Linked DNA regions of Styela clava. The protein of the gene in region 2 interacts with the protein of the main gene of each other region in a pairwise test. Links are inferred from orthologs where the notes say so. Each region holds a gene or a part of one and is shown on either strand. Other genes may lie near its edges. The genes, in order: replication factor C subunit 4-like and PRKCA-binding protein-like.

What was found.
Region 1: the proteins of PRKCA-binding protein-like (region 2) and replication factor C subunit 4-like interact in a two-hybrid assay, tested with the Caenorhabditis elegans proteins (3 studies listed by BioGRID). The link is inferred for Styela clava from reciprocal best matches to the Caenorhabditis elegans genes Y57G11C.22 and rfc-4.

Annotation. Positions count from the first base shown.
Region 1 is NC_135252.1:13,500,724-13,508,960, reverse strand, and holds replication factor C subunit 4-like, read right to left. Parts: upstream 2,589-8,237; 5' UTR 2,352-2,588; coding exon 1,296-2,351; 3' UTR 883-1,295; downstream 1-882. UniProt on the Caenorhabditis elegans protein: The elongation of primed DNA templates by DNA polymerase delta and epsilon requires the action of the accessory proteins PCNA and activator 1. This subunit may be involved in the elongation of the multiprimed DNA template.
Region 2 is NC_135258.1:21,924,920-21,934,169, reverse strand, and holds PRKCA-binding protein-like, read right to left. Parts: upstream 3,811-9,250; 5' UTR 3,331-3,810; coding exon 2,164-3,330; 3' UTR 1,386-2,163; downstream 1-1,385. Other genes in the region: DNA/RNA-binding protein KIN17-like, read right to left, coding at 1-208, 342-477, 596-692, 856-1,020, 1,223-1,342.

The DNA.
Region 1 (8,237 bases), on a different chromosome or scaffold from region 2:
TTTGCCAATTGTAGGTGTAGAGGTCCTAACAAAATGTAGAAACATCAATTTCACAGATTCTTGCCTTAAGCAAAAACAGATGTGATAAATTCCAGACATTGAAAGGGTATAGGTTCTAAATCATGTATCTCAATTTTTCTGTTCAAAATTAGGCTACCCCATCATAATACATAGTTGAAAAGAAACTATGCATCATGGAGACATTGTGATTTTATGAGACTTGTCTTCTTCAAGTAGGTTTGATATTATTTTATATATATTTGTATGTACCTTAATGTAATTACACAAATAAAATGATTTTTATAATATAATCAGTCTTATTACCGAAGTACCGATCGCCCTATTTTTTGACCACATATGCATCTTAAAAGCTACCGGTAATCAGTTTAGATAGGGGTGGGCAATTACTTTTCTGAGTGGGCCAGTTACTCATAATAGATTTAGTTACTGGGCCAGAATCTCAAAACTCGATAGGAAAAACTATGAACAAAAAAAACATTTTATTCACAAAAGCTAGGCTAACATTTATATACCAATAAGCACAATCGGGTTCAGAAATTTCTATCCATGAAAACTATAGTCTTAGTTTCAGATGAAACGCTTCAGTGGGCTAGATCCGGCCCACAATTCGCCCACCCATGGTTTATATTGAATTAATATTATTCCCACCAAAGTCTCTTTCAATATACAGTTATGTCTAGAGATTCTTATAGTCTTTTTCCTGTTATGTCATGGGCACCATTTGCCTGGTAAATTCTGGTTTTCGAACCACCAACCTTCTCATGTATTGGGGGGGCTGAACCTGCTCTTATTCCTATCCCACATCACTTCTGTTAAACCTGTTGGAGAATACGTACTCCCCGTAAATTAAAGACTTAAATATTTGACCTTATTTTGATTTTCCATGTTATACACATTGCAAAACTTCAACTCAGTGAAAAAATTTAATAACAGAAACATTTAGACAGGAATTCGCTTATTTTTCCGCATTTATGGTAGTACACATGGAGTTGAATTATTACTATGAGGTTCATAATAACTTCAATGTAATGATTCATGAAGTCCACAGTTAGCATTAGTTGATACTCTCTAAAAATCTCTTGTACCTCATGACACTGCTGGTGTATGAAGAATTAATTCCTGTATAATTTTAGTGCATGGACAAATTCTGGAATAAGAAATCTGGTATAACATAAGCACATAAGTTGTATTGACCAGGTTGGCGCATGATGAAAGTGATATATTCCACCAAAATATATCATCCCTATTTGGCAGTGTAGAAAAAAATCCCTAACTCATGAGCAAATTTGTTGCTGAATAAGAGTTCCAAGTGACATAAGTTGGAGGTATTCATCCGCACCATCATTGAGACAATAATCGAGGGTTGCTAATTTTTCAGTTATGGCACATTTTTGCTCATCAGTGAGAGATGGCATAATAACAATTTCATCATGGAGCTGTGAGACCAATTGAGCCGCGGCATGGCCATCAGCTGATATCTCTTGCACTGTTTTTAGGAGATTTTCGTATGAATTTGAAGAACAACTATTGAGAAATGATTTGATTACTGGATCTGGTATTACACCTGTTATCTCGAGAACATCTTCGATTGCTATGCCTTCGTCTCCTTTAAGTCTATGTGCAGTTTGTAAAAATGTCATTGCTTTTCGCAAATCCCCCTCTGAACATTTTACCATACTATCCATCGCATCTTCTGATATTTTAACGGATTCTGTTTCTGCTACTCTGAGTAACCTTTTTTTCTGATCCTCTTCAGACAAAGGTTTGAATCGAAATTTTGAACATCTTGATGTAATCGGTGCAATGATTCTTGTGACATAATTACAAATAAGGCAAAATCTTGTAGTTTTCGTTTGCTTCTCCATCGTCCTTCTCAAAGCTTGTTGTGCAGCTTTCGTCATAGAGTCTGCCTCATCTAATATGATTATCTTGAACGAAGGCGACTTTCCGCCTTGTAAACTGCTTACAGACAACTGTGCAAAATTTTTTATCTTGTCTCTCACCACTGATATGCCTCTGTCATCTGATGCATTGAGTTCAAGTACTCTATCCCGAAATTTGGGGCCATACAAATCTCGTGAAAGGGCCAGAATGGTTGATGTTTTACCGGTTCCTGGGGGACCATAGAACAACATATTGGGCAAGTCTGCTCCTGTAATACATTTTTTTAAAACTGCAACGACTTCGTCCTGATGCGCGATATCATCAACGCATTTTGGTCTGTATTTTTCAATCCATGGTTTCAAGTTTTCTGTTTCATTATCAGACTTAGTTAGGGATGATTTCTTTCCATCTCCAGATCCACTGGCTGGTTTAAAAAATGAATGCATTGTGGTTCAATAGATGTTGTACTACTATCAGACTGTTTTTTCAGACAGATTTTTCATCACAGTTATAAGTAAATATAAGTTATTTTAAATATTTTTTTAAATTTTTTATGGCAGAAAATAAAAATTCATACAAAAAGTCATAGGTTATTGCATATCATGTCAAGTTTTTTTTTATAAAATCAGGTTGTTGTCTCAATTTTTCCATATTTCTCCATGCTGAAAGGGATTTCTGGATTTTTTAAATCTGCCAATCTTGTATCTAGCAGTACACATAAGAAGTCTGGAATAATACAGTAATAGCATTACGTTTAATCAATGATAAATGTGAAAAACACTGATTTCTTAGGTCTAATAAAATACATGCAAACATGTTTTAGGCCTATATATATACTTCAACTTACAATCGTTTATTTTTAATATAACAGAAAAAAATAGAATCATACACATTTCTGCATTTTGTGTAAAAACACAGTTCCAAAATGAATGAGATATAAATTCTGGTGCTTGAGAACAAAATACCCATAAATCATTCCCAGAAATATGTCTAATTCTTGGTTTAACTTTTACTGAAAGAATATCCCACATTAGTTTATAATTAAAAGTTTTTATATTATAAGCTAATATTTTACAATGACAGAATGAGTATTTAAACAGGCTCCATCCAAACTACCATCTCTAAGAAACTATCCTATCATCATCCTTCAAACCAATTACTTTTTTTTTGCACCATTTTTATTCCTATACTCGTGCTTGCACTACTGCTGTATAGGGCTGGGCATTTCGAATCCAATAGTAAATTATTCGAATCGGTTCAGAGCTAAATTTCGAATCGCCGCCATCTTGTTTTCTTTTTTCGCCAATGGTCGAGGTGAATTCCCCAATTTTTTTTTCAACGCAATTCTAACATATGACTATTTTCTGTAGTGAGTTATTGATAAAAACGTGTTTGTTATGGTGTGTCGATTCGATTCTGAAATCACAAGGTATTCGAAAATGCCCAGCCCTACTGCTGCACCGATACCGAGTGTAAAGCATAGCATAGATCTGTAGACAGCGAATCAAACAGATAGAATAGGGATTTAGGATTTCTACAGATTTCCCGCCAAAGGAGCGTTCTATGGCTCCGATATGATTGATATCCGCGAGGATTATAAAAATTGATGTTGTTGTCAAGTGCATATTCTGGACATTTGCATCTTAGGTATATTTTAATAAATGTGCCCGCAACGGCGTCTAAAAATATATTCGGCCGGTTTAAATTAAAAGAGGATAAATTGTGGGTTCCGATTCAAAAATACAAAATCTAAATTTCGCGCTAACATACAATCGGTATGTTAGTCGTTGCATATAATGGATCGAAAATGCAATCGGTTCATAAAACTGCGCCTGTGAAGTAACTTATCTATCTTCGATCCGCAAGATATTTACAATCTTCGTGTAGCGTGGAAATGAATCCCAATTAGCAAGCCACACGAATTAGTGAACAAACAATACAAACTTCACGCAGTATATTTAGTGCAAAGGACAACCAGGATTCCAAAATTACATAACTTTACATAAATTTATATAAAACTACTAAATTTAATCATATGTACCATCCATTTCACATTCAGATTTCAAGCACCGTAAAACTCAAATTTTAGTACACTCATTTGGTTGTGTGTTCACAAAACCCATATTGTTTAATTGCGCATCAACGTTTTGCGATTTCCCAAGTTTTCGTTTTTTTTCCTTCTTATAACAACAAAAGCAAATACTCTTCCTCCAGGTATTCTGCATTTTGTTTGTCCGTTTTTTGTTGTTTTGTTTCATGTCAGAGGGACCGAAATAAAATTGATTGATTGTTTAATACTTTTCTTCTATTGTTAATATTGAGTTTTCAATCAGAACGCAAGTATTCAAGTCGCCATGAAGACATTGCAAACTAATTCTTTATTTAAATGGTGCAGTTCTCGCACCACGTGTTTTTCCATATAAATTCTATGTTTGTATTGACTCGTAATATATATTATAGTTGCGTCTACAATTCCCATTGTTCAAGTCTCTCGAATAAACGAACCGGCGATCCTTAATCATGGACCGACAACAAAAGACCGAAAATAGTTTAAGCATGGGCGTGGAGAGTTGTTTTGTAAAATTTGAATACGTGCGACATTTTAACAAAGTTGCCTAAACTATGTTGACGGTTTTGGAATAGCCTTTTCTATGATGTGGTTTGCGTGTTTCACTATCAGAACTAGAAGCTGGTAGAGAATCGAGGAGATGACGTTGTGTTCAATGGCCAAGTATGAGACAAGTGCATTTCGCGTCATTGCTTAAATAAAATCTTAGGATAATAAATTTTTCGGTGATGATACTTACCACCGAGCACCCGTTCAAGCTTGAGCTCGAAAAGACACGTGTAATCAGTAGGTAGCGATGAGCATAAATTATATAGTGAGTTATCGTCATATCTGTTAACAAACTCTTCGATACTTCTACTTCATTACATATAAGGTTCTTTGTATCTTTGCCTCTATTGTCGTATTATCATGTCCATGTATCCTTATAAATTCACCATTATTTTTGCGCGAAAAAGCTCTTCAAAACCCTATCCAGCCGGTCGGTCTGGTGCCATTTTACTTGGGTTATTTTATTGTCAACCATCAGGCCCTATAGCTTCACTCATGGCTTTTTAATAGCTTGTGATAGAGCTCTTTTCAGCAATATATGTAAAACGCAGTCCTCTAAAAAAAAATTTTTACGCCAAAATTCAAAATTTTCTATTGAACTTGCGAGATTTTGTGTCTAGTACAGGGTTAATAATTATTTCTAATTAATTAATTTTTATTTCAACGTTTTCTTGTGTTATTTTCCAACAGAACAACACTAGAACCACTATTATAGCAAGAATGGTTACTCTAAAATTAACGATTGTATTTACAGAATTTTCAAGTTCAAGGCTTCTATTAACAATTTTGATGACGTCACAGCTCTAATTATTAGTGCACACGCTCCCCTCAATGCAAAAAATGTTACTTTTTCCGACGTAAATGCGCGTAGAAAGACGTAAACATTCTAATGCGCGCCGCTACGCGTGAAAATTATCATTAATTTTACGTTTTTTTCACGTTTGAAAAATTTCGAAACCTCTGCCAAGTATGGTGCAGTCGAAATTATATTTATCAAAACATCACAGCGCCAGGGATGATATGCATGACTGAAAATACATGCTAAACCAATAATGATTGATAACTCGCTAATTATACGACATAATTCGCCCAAAATCAATAGGCTTCTGGTCCGAGATAAGATGAATGCACATGCAAAATCTGGAGCAGATTCAATCTCGCTTTCGTGAGATATCGCGTGCATCTAACAGACACACACACAGACAGACAGACATACATACAGACAAATACCTATCAATATACTTACCGATCTTAAGATCGATAAGTAATAAGTCATTATAAAGGAGTTAATGCTATTGATTTCTTGTCTGAGTCGCGTCAACAATTTCACACATATGACTGACGATTTGAAAATCGACGCTATTTATACGATTCGCACTTTGCGTCATGGCTGAAGTCTCTTTTTCGTGAAATATACGACTCTACTATAGAACATTGACTGTAAAACACCATTAATATCTTTTAGAGTTGGACTAGGCTAAATAATACTGAATATATGTCATCCGGCGGTGTTGGGTTAAAACATCGATTTTGCAATGTTTTCCTTGATGTCTTTATATTGCCTTGACAAATAAATGATGATTGGTTGAATGTGCCTATTTTTGCCCGCAGTTGTCAAACACAGCAGCATTTCAATTCCTAGAATTCTTTCTCATGTTTTGCTTTTTAGTTTGTATAAACTCCATATTCGGAGAGCCACAAAAATGCAAAAATGCATTCCTTACCACCGCATTTTGCCACAAAGAGAAAAGTCGAAGTCATTTTCTGCGTTTTCATATAAGGAAGAACACAAGTTTCCAATTGAACCAAGCGTTTATACACCTTTCTTTCAGAAAGCCACCACCACGGGTAAGAGAAGACTCGTACTCTAATTCATAACTTTAGAAATTTGATTTTGTAGCGGTCGAGATTTAATAAAATTTACCACTTGTCTGGTTTATTTGATTCGCATTAGGATGGAGCAAAGAAAATCTCTACAGTGACATATCACCAGTCCGTTGCAGCAAATTCGAGTAACAAGTCAAGCCGAACCACTCCTGCTTCTATTCACAAGTCGAGTCCTGGTCAATATAGATTTCATAAACAATAATAAAATGGTTGAATGAATGTCAATATTGTTCCATCCTAATGCGCCCTCATTCTTGATAATGCGCCAGTGCGATGTTGACAATGCCGCATCATTGCTGATAATGTACTGGTCCTAATATTAGAAAAGTACTCCTCTACTCCATCCAACCAATGACATGCTTCATGTCACAAATCCAACGTAAATCAATTTTATGACCTAATATATTAGCAGTGAAATTCTACGTCTCGTTCTCAAAGTTTGTGTGAGCTTTGCTACGGGGAAGTTGTGAAGCTGTCAGAAGTTGAAACCGTTCTTATACAATAGCTGTATTCAATCGAATAATTTCATATACAACAATGAAATTTCTTCCTAAAATGCATAGTAGATGTACGAGTAACTTCTTGTTTAGAGCCCATGTTCAAAGGGATGTGTGAAATATCCCATAAAAATAGGGCTACATATCACCAAATCTTTATCGAATGACCACGGCAAAAAGAGAATCTTAAAGTACAGTGGCACATCACTAAGGATGCTAAGTATGACTACTTACAAGTATTCGATTTCTATCTGATTCCTAAATTTTCGATTCCGATTCTCGATTCCGAATCTCGATTCCTCCACATATCTCACCGAGAAACATACCCACCTAAGCAACATCATATGAAATCAAACAAGAGAGCGATGTTTAAATACATAGACGGACAAGAAGGCCAAAACTAAGTAGTATCAGTATCCAATCTGTCACAGGAGACAAAATCGCACAAAAAAAGAATCCTTCAGAACCCAAGGAGTTTTTATAAATAAATAAACATAAAAGTCTTCTCGCGAAATATATATATATATATATACATAGGCTAATGAAGTTTGCGGCGTCGTAGCAACTCAACATAGCAGTAAACAGTTTATGCATATTTGGGAAGAAATTTCCACAAAAGGTTACACATTGTTTGCAATCTAAGTTTTGACCTCGAGAATCGATTCCAATGCATCGGAATCGATTCTAGTCGATTCCGCGAAGAATCGATTCTGTAATCGAATCCGGACTCGATTCCGCCATCCCTACACATCACCCGTCCGCGTTTCAGCGAATTCGAGTACTGGGTCAAGTCGAATCACTGATGCTTCTATTTACGAGTCGAGTCATTATAGATTTCATTAACAATAGTAATGGATGAATGAATTGACAATATTGTGCCATCCTATTGCGTCCTCATTCCCGCCTACAGGTACTGGTAGCTATTTTAAGCTAGTATATTGTAGCGTTTGCGGTATCAATTTTTGATTATTGTGACTAAACTAAAGATCTTCAGAGGACACAATGACAATGGACCTTTTCCCGACTTTTAACCCACGAAAAATTTTTCCTATACTTTACAATTGCAAAATTTTCGGGGCTATTTTAAGAGTGCTTTTGCGAGTTGGCGCCTGTGAAATGGGGTATGTGTTTCAAACCATCATTATGATTCATCGCATACAACAATCTGTTTTTTAAATGTACCAGTAAAGAATTTTAGCCTAGTCTATCACAGCTATTTCTACACTAATTTATATGACTGCAATTAAATTAAAACTCCTAGGAAGACAGGGTGACCATTGAATTATCTGATTTACATTTAAGTTTCCGAAACACAACTGAAAACTAACGAA
Region 2 (9,250 bases):
ATTAAACACTTTCTCAGATTTTGCAATATCAACCCTCGGTTTGGCTGCTGTAGAGGCTTTTTTGGAAGAGACAGACGGGGTCTGCATTGCAAAAGTTATTTTTTGATCTTCATCTTCCCTCTGCAATTCGTTACTTGTTGAAGGTAATTCTAGTTCATTTTCATCCCCATCTCTCTCTTTCCCTCTACGAACCATATCCTCAATAGCTCTGAAAGCAATGATAAAAATATTCAGAAAACTTTCCATTACAAAAAAGAATATATTACAATGAACTGAAGAGGAAACAATATGTCTCAAGAGAGTGGAAAAGAAAATCAGTTACTCACAAGGCTGAAACTTACCTTGCATGTCTTTCATCATCGTCTTTTTCCTTTTTTTTAATTTTTTCGAGTTCTTTCTGCCGTCTAATAACTTCAGGATCTCTGTCAATGTATTGTATGAACCATCCTTTCTCTGTTTGGTCAACCTTGCAATAACCTATTTGCACAATAACAGAGTCCTCAATAATGACAATCATTTCATGGGTACCAGTGGTTATACTTTTTAAATTGAATATTTAGTAAAAGGAAAATATACCTAACCTAATTTAATGTACCTTCACGTCCCAGCCACTTTGTAAATTCAGTAAGTGTGACCCATTTTGTTGAATTCATATGAATATGTTCCTTGAATCCAATATATTCGTTGTAAACCTAAAACAACAAATAATATTGAGATGATCTTCAAGTTCGATTGTACCAGGTATTCAACTTTTTGAATAATAAGTTCAAATAAGTTTTATAATAGCCCTTTAATAGTATCAACATTTATGGCAATGTATGATTTAGCAAAAATTTTCTAATAATATATGCATACCACATTGTTGTGAACTCTTCTAGTGTTGAAACGACGCTTCAATAACTCCATAAACTCTTTCAAAAATTCATTTGAAAAATGGTCATTGAAGGCACCTGGTTTCTCTGCAACCAGCAATAGTTGTCTTTGATGAGATTCTGACATGCAATGACATTTGAAACCATTCTGTCATGACAATATATCATGTTATTCAGAGTTTTGAGCTACTAGTTATGTTAGGATGGCATATTAGAATAGCTTATTAGTTAGAACTAACTCATTAGATGTAGGTTCAAAGTCTGATGTCATGGCAAAGCAAATAGAAAAAGTGGATAGAGAGATAATAGTATGAAAAGAATATATTTAAGACATATTTTTTGAAACCTACCTCATCTCTGCATTGCTTCTGGCACATTTGACAATACCATCGTAATTTTTGCAAACCTTTCGATTTAATGCGATTTGCGATAGCCTTGGGAGTTAAAAATCCACCTTTTTCTTTTCCCATTATAAATAATAGGTGCAGTATTAATTAGTAAGTTAATAAAATACTAAAAGAAAACAACATACAATTTACAGCATCTTATATCTTAATCAAGGACAAGTAATTGCACATAATCACCAACCATACAATACATGCACAATAAATGGGAAAACATAGAACTTAGCATGCAATTCATCGTTCAGCACAATTCATCTTCATTAGAATCATTACTATGTATCGGGATTTGATTTATATTGACAAAAACGATTAAAGCAGCCATGAATTTCAAGTATTATTCATTTAATATTTTGAAATTAATCATACAGAGTGAAACATCACACTGCGTTTGATGTATAAAATGAACATAATTCACCATTTGATTTAACAGTACTAGTTTAAATGAAATAACAAAATCTCTTCTTAAAGTATACATACCATTTGGCAACAAAATTTTAATCAGACACATTCAAAAAAATGAAAACTTCAGACAAAATGAGCACAATATTGAAGACACATTGTTTTACATTTCATAATTTATATATTCAATAAAAGAAAACTTCCAAAACTATCTTATGCAGTAAAATTCTACGCAAAGATAGCAGATGAAATAAAAAGCAAAAATTCACATTAAATGCACATGTAAATTGAAAAAGGTTATTGCTTCAATAGAATAAATAGTTTGAGGTCCAATCTATATGGATACGAAGAATTAGCAGACAAAACTACAAAACGGTCCTAATAAAAATTCTCAGATTTTACACAGGGAGTACTTCCTTTGTTTTTTTGATATTCCGGTCAAATTGACCTGTAATATGCACTAGAATTGTTGACAATTAACATCGTTTTCATTCTAAAGTCTCTTCATATTCCGGATCGTGGAATCGGTCTTTTTTATCATATTCGAACGTTGCACTCGACAAGTCAACTTCTACTGGAAATACATCAGCTTGTTTCATACTTGCTTGACAGTCATCATGATACTTTGAAATAGCAGCAACAAATCTTTGCAGCTGATGGACGATATCTTGTACATGTTTGTTGTCCAGTAATTCTAGCTTTTCCATAACATCTTTTCGAAGTTTGGCAAACCGCTCTCGAGCATCTTGGCGACATCGCAAAACTAAGCGATATTCATAATTTCCTGTTTCAACGCGATAAAGTGGTTCCTGTAATGCAGCATAACTATATTCCTCGTCATCCATTTCCTTCACCTTGAGACAAAACGACAAGTACTCAAATTTTGTGTCTGCATAGCGCCTGATTGTCATTTTCGTATCCGGAATAGCTTTGTTGAGATATGTATTCAAATCATTCAACATTGGTTTTAAAGTTGTCATCAAAGTGAAGCCAGACTTTTCAAAATTACGATGAGCTTCGCTAAACTTCCCGAAAGCCTCACCTCCGTTAAAGTTTGGATCACGTACACCAATCTCACCAAAAATATCTCCGAATGCACGGTGAGTTTTACACAAATTAAAATAAGATTTTAGAAGTTTCTTTATGTGAACAATGAGCCCAAGATATACTCCACCAATCTGTTCCATTTCCTGAAGTCTCTTAATCAAAACATCATTGCATAAAATTGCACGACTTAATCCAAGTGCATCTGCTGTACTTGAATCCATTTGTTCAACAATTCGGTGCTTTATCTTTTTCAGAACAATATCCAATGTTTTGCCTTGTTTAGGATCTGCATGTAGTTTATTAAAGTTGATTCGGACTTCACCCTTTATGCTTTGTATTGTTTTAGCCAACTGAACCTTTGATAGCCCTTTGACTGATTTGCTATTTACAGCAACAATTTCATCACCTGCAGCCAAAGATCCATCCTTTGCAGCTGGTGTATTATCGAATACTTGTACAATATAAAGACATGGACATAAGGGTGCACCTCCGCCAATGCTTATTCCAATCAAATTTTGCTTATCTTTCATGAGCTTGACTGTACCAGAAACAGTGGTCATTCCCATCTTATCCTCTTCTATTCCCCATTCTTCCATGGCGTGAGACATCTGGGCATTGAATAGACAAATTGGTAGTATGGATATCGGTCAGTATTTCGTTTACAACTGTTTTCTCAAATTCTAGAAATGAATAATTAGATAATTCAACAAAATCAAAAATCCTACCGCACTAATCGAAGGGCAGAAACCATAAGCAGTCACCACTGGCAGGCTGGGGATCTGAGTTTCAAATATTTTATTTTCTAAGCGAATATTTCCGAAACCGATTCTGTTTAGTATGGTACAAAATCACATTATCATTAACTTTTTTTAAATTTGGAAGAACTACCGTACAGTACAAATTGTGATTAAATAACAATAATGAACTTGAAGAATGAGTAAAGTTAGTAGAAGAAAACATTGAATTGACAGATTGATGCTTCAACTTCATAATATATTAGAGAATATTTATTTCTGTTACAAGGTGTAAACTCAGTTATATTTACGATACTTATTACTGTATTGCATAAATTTATGTTCGCAAACAATACTGCATTAGTACGTGATTTTAAAGAATGCAAATGATAACGAGTAGGCTAACCATCGCAGACCTACCGTACTATGTTTTTAAGGAGGAATAATTGGGATTAGCTAACACTTCAGCTGCACATCGAACGAATGACGTCAACAAAAGCCAGCTCCGTCAATCATGTTTAATCAACCATGACGACAGGAAATCATGCCCTCGTTCGGGAAAGGGCAGGATTTGCAATTTACATATTTATTCAGGGGGCAAGAAAGCCTATAATCATATGGCCACGGCTTCTCGTCCGGAAAACCGTAATCGACCAGCGGTTACGTAAACCACCCTACGTCGGCGTGGAGTCCAGAAATCTTCTCGCACAGCAGTACCTGAGGTCCAAGCACATATATTTGCAGTTATATAGATAGATAGTTTATTCGAATACTCCACAATATACACAAATTTAAAATGGAGAATTCTGGAGGGTGAGCGAAACATTTAAAAAAGTTCAAAACATGCGAAATATCATGTGCCCTCCCACCAGCACATACACAAAAATAAATTACAAAAAACACAAGCCTAGTTAAAACAAGGCTTAGGCCAGAAATAATCAAACAAAAGATACTCGAATGTATAGGAACTTCCGGGCTGTTATACTTTTGAAACACCTAATCTATTACAGTAATAATGGCCAATTCAATATGTACCGTAGCCTATATGTCAGCAATACGCTGTTAATTATTAAATGTTTATTTTGCCCCATCCCGTAGCAGCCGAATGTCATGTACGGTCGTTGAATGTTTGTATGTTGATCCCTTTAAAAAAACATTATCCGCAATACCTTTCCATAAATTTTCTTTATTCTCTTTACACCTTGTGAATGATCTGTTTCATACTGCAGCCGAACTTGATCATCAGTGACCGTCAACACCAATTTGTTCATCACACTGTGATTCACAGTGTTCCATTTCACGTCAAAAATCCAGTTGTTTCAGTCTGCCCAAGGTGTGCAGGATATTAATTGGAGGGTCTTGCCAATGTTATGTGTTCACTCACCTAATAATATGAATGCACCTGTCTGTGTGACTTCTAAAACGTTCACTGCTACGTCGGAGTGTAAACGGATTTTTCAAAAAATGCTAAAGATTTTCTTGATTCATTGGTTGAGCTTGGCTGGGATGATTTTCCAACTTTGTGCATTGCATAATGTGTATTACTCACAATTGGCTATACTCAATTGATAGTTGCACGCGATCTTTCTCAAAGTTCTGATAAAAATATATATATATATTCGAGGTATTCGATGTCAAGTTTATCTTTGATTAGTACCGAAATTCGAAAGAGTCTTTCATTCAGACATTTGTTGACAGCAAAGTAGCGATTGCACATAGAAATAAGTGACTTGCTTTTTGTTAATAAATGAGTTCGATTTTATACAGTGAGTTTTTTGCTTAGTTTGATGATTTGTTTAATAAAACGAACGTTTCTGTCTTACCTGACCTTCAATTTATTTATTCTCACGTGTAACGACGTCTATAATCTCTTTATACACCGAAACATTTTTTAAAAGTTAAGTAGGGAAAGGTGGGCCACCGTGGGGCAACCAGCTCTCACACTCTTATTATATTTGGAATCAGGTCTGCGGTTCGATGTTTGAATCAGCCCTTCGGTGAGTTACAACGTCCCCGCAAACGGACAACGGTAGTGTATAGCGACGCAAACTATGAGATGAGGTTGGTTTTGGGAGTTTGAAACTAAAATTTCACCATTTTAGTTTTGTCTTTTTTCTACTTTAGCCTTTCCAACATGACAAACAACCGTCTGATATTTTTCAGCTTTGTTACAATGTAAAATATTCATGACGTTGGCTAATGGATGAGCCGTCCTAATTTGCTTATGGAATTTTATGAAAGCATATATATATATGAAATATTTTGGTTGATCATTGACTTTTAAAAGTATTATCAGAAACTCGCCCCGGGCAGCAGAAAAGTTTGGCATGCTCATGTATGGAGGTAACTAATTTTGTTCGCCTACTTTACATCAAGTTGTGTAAAGGGATGGAAGCCTATGGGCAGGGTTCATTTCATTCAGTTGGCTTATAGCAACTAACCCCCAAATGTACCCCATTTCATGTTAAAAATATGAAAACAAAGTTAATTTTTCTCAAAATTCGAACCAAGACTTTCGTAGGAATCAAATTACACCAGTTTTAAGAACATAACAGGTTCCATCCAGTCATTATCAAATTAAAATCTATATTCTCAAGACCTTTGGCACTGATTGAAATAATTATATCTAAGTTCCCATCCGTACGATGTACCTAATTACCCTTGTTGAGATAATAGGAATTTCTGTTTATAACGTGAATCACGAGCTCACGTTTACAGCATTTAATTGGATTTATGATCAACGTATAAATACGACTCCGATATCTTTCGATAGGAGAGAGAAGACGATGTAAACCATTCTAAGCTAGTCTGGATAAATGTTATAAGATTTATATTCTGTGTATCGTGGAAATCTGAGAATAAAATCAAATAGAATCTACCCTATATACTATAAATGGTGACAAAACCGACTTGAATTAACCATCTGAAACGAACCAGATCAACGGATTTCAACCACAAGTACGGACAACAATCAGGACAGGCAACAATTTGACGGAATCAACCAAAAAGCTGACCAAGCGAAAGCTTTCAACAATTGCCGAGAAACCGTCTATACAAAACGTGCGAACTTACGAATGTCGGGGAGATTCAAATTGCCTGGAACAACAATTGAAGTATCAAATTGCTATCAAGCCAAAATAATCAAGAACATTATGAAACGACAATAAACTCAATTGAAAACTGTTAAACTATAGTGACGGACTCTGGAAACGTTAAAATTATGAATATGGACTGTATTGAACATCGATCGAAATGAACTCTTTTAGAACATGATATATGTTCGAGGTGAAAAACCTAATCAAAAAACGAACTGTTTAAAACAATGAACAATATATGGACTGTTTTACGGTAAATTACGCGCTCTATTCCGAACAATAGAGAAATTGTCGCGCGTACCCAATCGATATACAGATCAGGAGCATGTCATTCTACAATTTGTTTCATGATTTTCAGGTTTTTCTTCTCATTGAGACAGACATTTTTCATTCTTCCACTAATACTAAGGTAAAGTACCGTACTTCTTTTTCTTATATATACATGGCGTTTCATTCGACTTTTAATTTTTATAAATTAATTAATGGTAACAACTTTGAATATTCTGATTTCAAATACCTTTCAAAATATTTATATTATTGAAAATTTGCGGTTAGCATTCCTTTTTCGATTAATAGATTTCATTGGGATTAAAATGCTTTCTAAAAGTAGATTCGAGCGAGTCATACTTTTAATTATTTACAAAGCCGTCATATAGAACGGTTAAATAATAAGCTCGTTAAACAAAAATTGTATCCAAAAGCGTTATTTTTTCAAAAAAGCCCTGAGATGGCATAAACTTAAAAATGCGTTTTTTCTTCCCGACATGGGACAAGCATATATTGACCAACTAGGTCTACTAAATCGTAACAATGCGATAAAGCGAGTATAAGCATTTTAACTTAGCGAAATACATTGAATTGAAAATATGTTTTAACCGTCCAAACCAAAATTTTTCAAATATAAATACGCCATCTTTCTGTAATTCTACATTACAGCCTTTACTCTTTCTATAAACTCTTCTTTACTTCAATGTCTTGTCTCATTGTAGATCATATACATGTAAATATTTTTTTTGACCTATATCATTAATTTTAGCATTGTGTATTGTATTTTTCTATATATTTTCAATTTATTAGAGTTGCCAAATCTTGAAACTTCCAGTTAGTAAGATGGGGAGATAATATAGCAACTAACCCCCAAATGTACCCCATTTCATGTTAAAAATATGAAAACAAAGTTAATTTTTCTCAAAATTCGAACCAAGACTTTCGTAGGAATCAAATTACACCAGTTTTAAGAACATAACAGGTTCCATCCAGTCATTATCAAATTAAAATCTATATTCTCAAGACCTTTGGCACTGATTGAAATAATTATATCTAAGTTCCCATCCGTACGATGTACCTAATTACCCTTGTTGAGATAATAGGAATTTCTGTTTATAACGTGAATCACGAGCTCACGTTTACAGCATTTAATTGGATTTATGATCAACGTATAAATACGACTCCGATATCTTTCGATAGGAGAGAGAAGACGATGTAAACCATTCTAAGCTAGTCTGGATAAATGTTATAAGATTTATATTCTGTGTATCGTGGAAATCTGAGAATAAAATCAAACAGAATTTACCCATTATTTATGCTATAGGCTAACATAAACAGTCCCCGAACTCGTAATGGAACTAAAATAAGGAAAATCGGCATAAAATTATGGCCTAACCCTAATCTGGTACACATACTACGGTAGTACCGAACTCCAAATTTACCATAAATTCGTGAAGGAATTAGGCTACAGTTACATGTAAACAAACCAATATAAGAAAATAAATTCCCATAAGGCAAATGTTAATTTACCACAACTATTGCCTGTCTTTGTGCGACATAAACAGTTGGGAGTTCAGGTATGATTACTGGTTTGTGAATAATTATTCACTCTGAATCATTCGAATCTCAGTTTCAACGAGTCACATATACAGTTTACAAAAAATCGGTTCAATTTTGAGGCCAAGCAGACTTTGTCAGGAGTTTTAGGCAATTTTGCATTATTTCAAAAAGTATAAAAATCATTAGAAATTAATCAATAATACGCTGAATTTGTATTTGGCAGACACACGCTTGGTAGTTAAAGTTTTCGCTTTTGTTCGGATAACATAGCAGTCGTCGCATTTATAATTTTACTTATTTGTTTCAAAAAAAAACTGAATGTATTTATGCAACTGAGGAGCGCGTTAGGCGTTTGGCTGCTAGTTAAAAAGGAGAAGTTGTATGTATATCATTGTCCCGTGTTTTCGTATGTAGTCATGAAACACTAAAGAGGGACTTAACATTTAACCCGATTATCGGTACAGATCAGCATCAGAATATCTAATGATAGTTATATAGGGATGGGTATGGATGGGGAAAGCTGTGACATTTATATATAGAAAGAGATGCTACAATGTTAGTTTTCAAAGTGGAAATTCGTGAATAACAATAAGAACGAGAATATCGGTCGGAGACCGAAGACTTATCGATCGAAAGTTAGGGGATCCCCCAAAACAGAAACTGCGGTTTCGATTCGAAAAATTCTGCAAACCCGAACTGGATTGTTTTGATTAGTTTTCAGCCAATATCAGAAATGTAGGAAACAATAGCCAACTCCCCATGTCGTCGAAATACTACTCGAGGAAATACTTTTATGAAGAATTCTGCAAATCCGAACTGGATTGTTTCGATAAGTTTCCAGCCAATAGCCTATTTCTGTTCTTACCAATCCT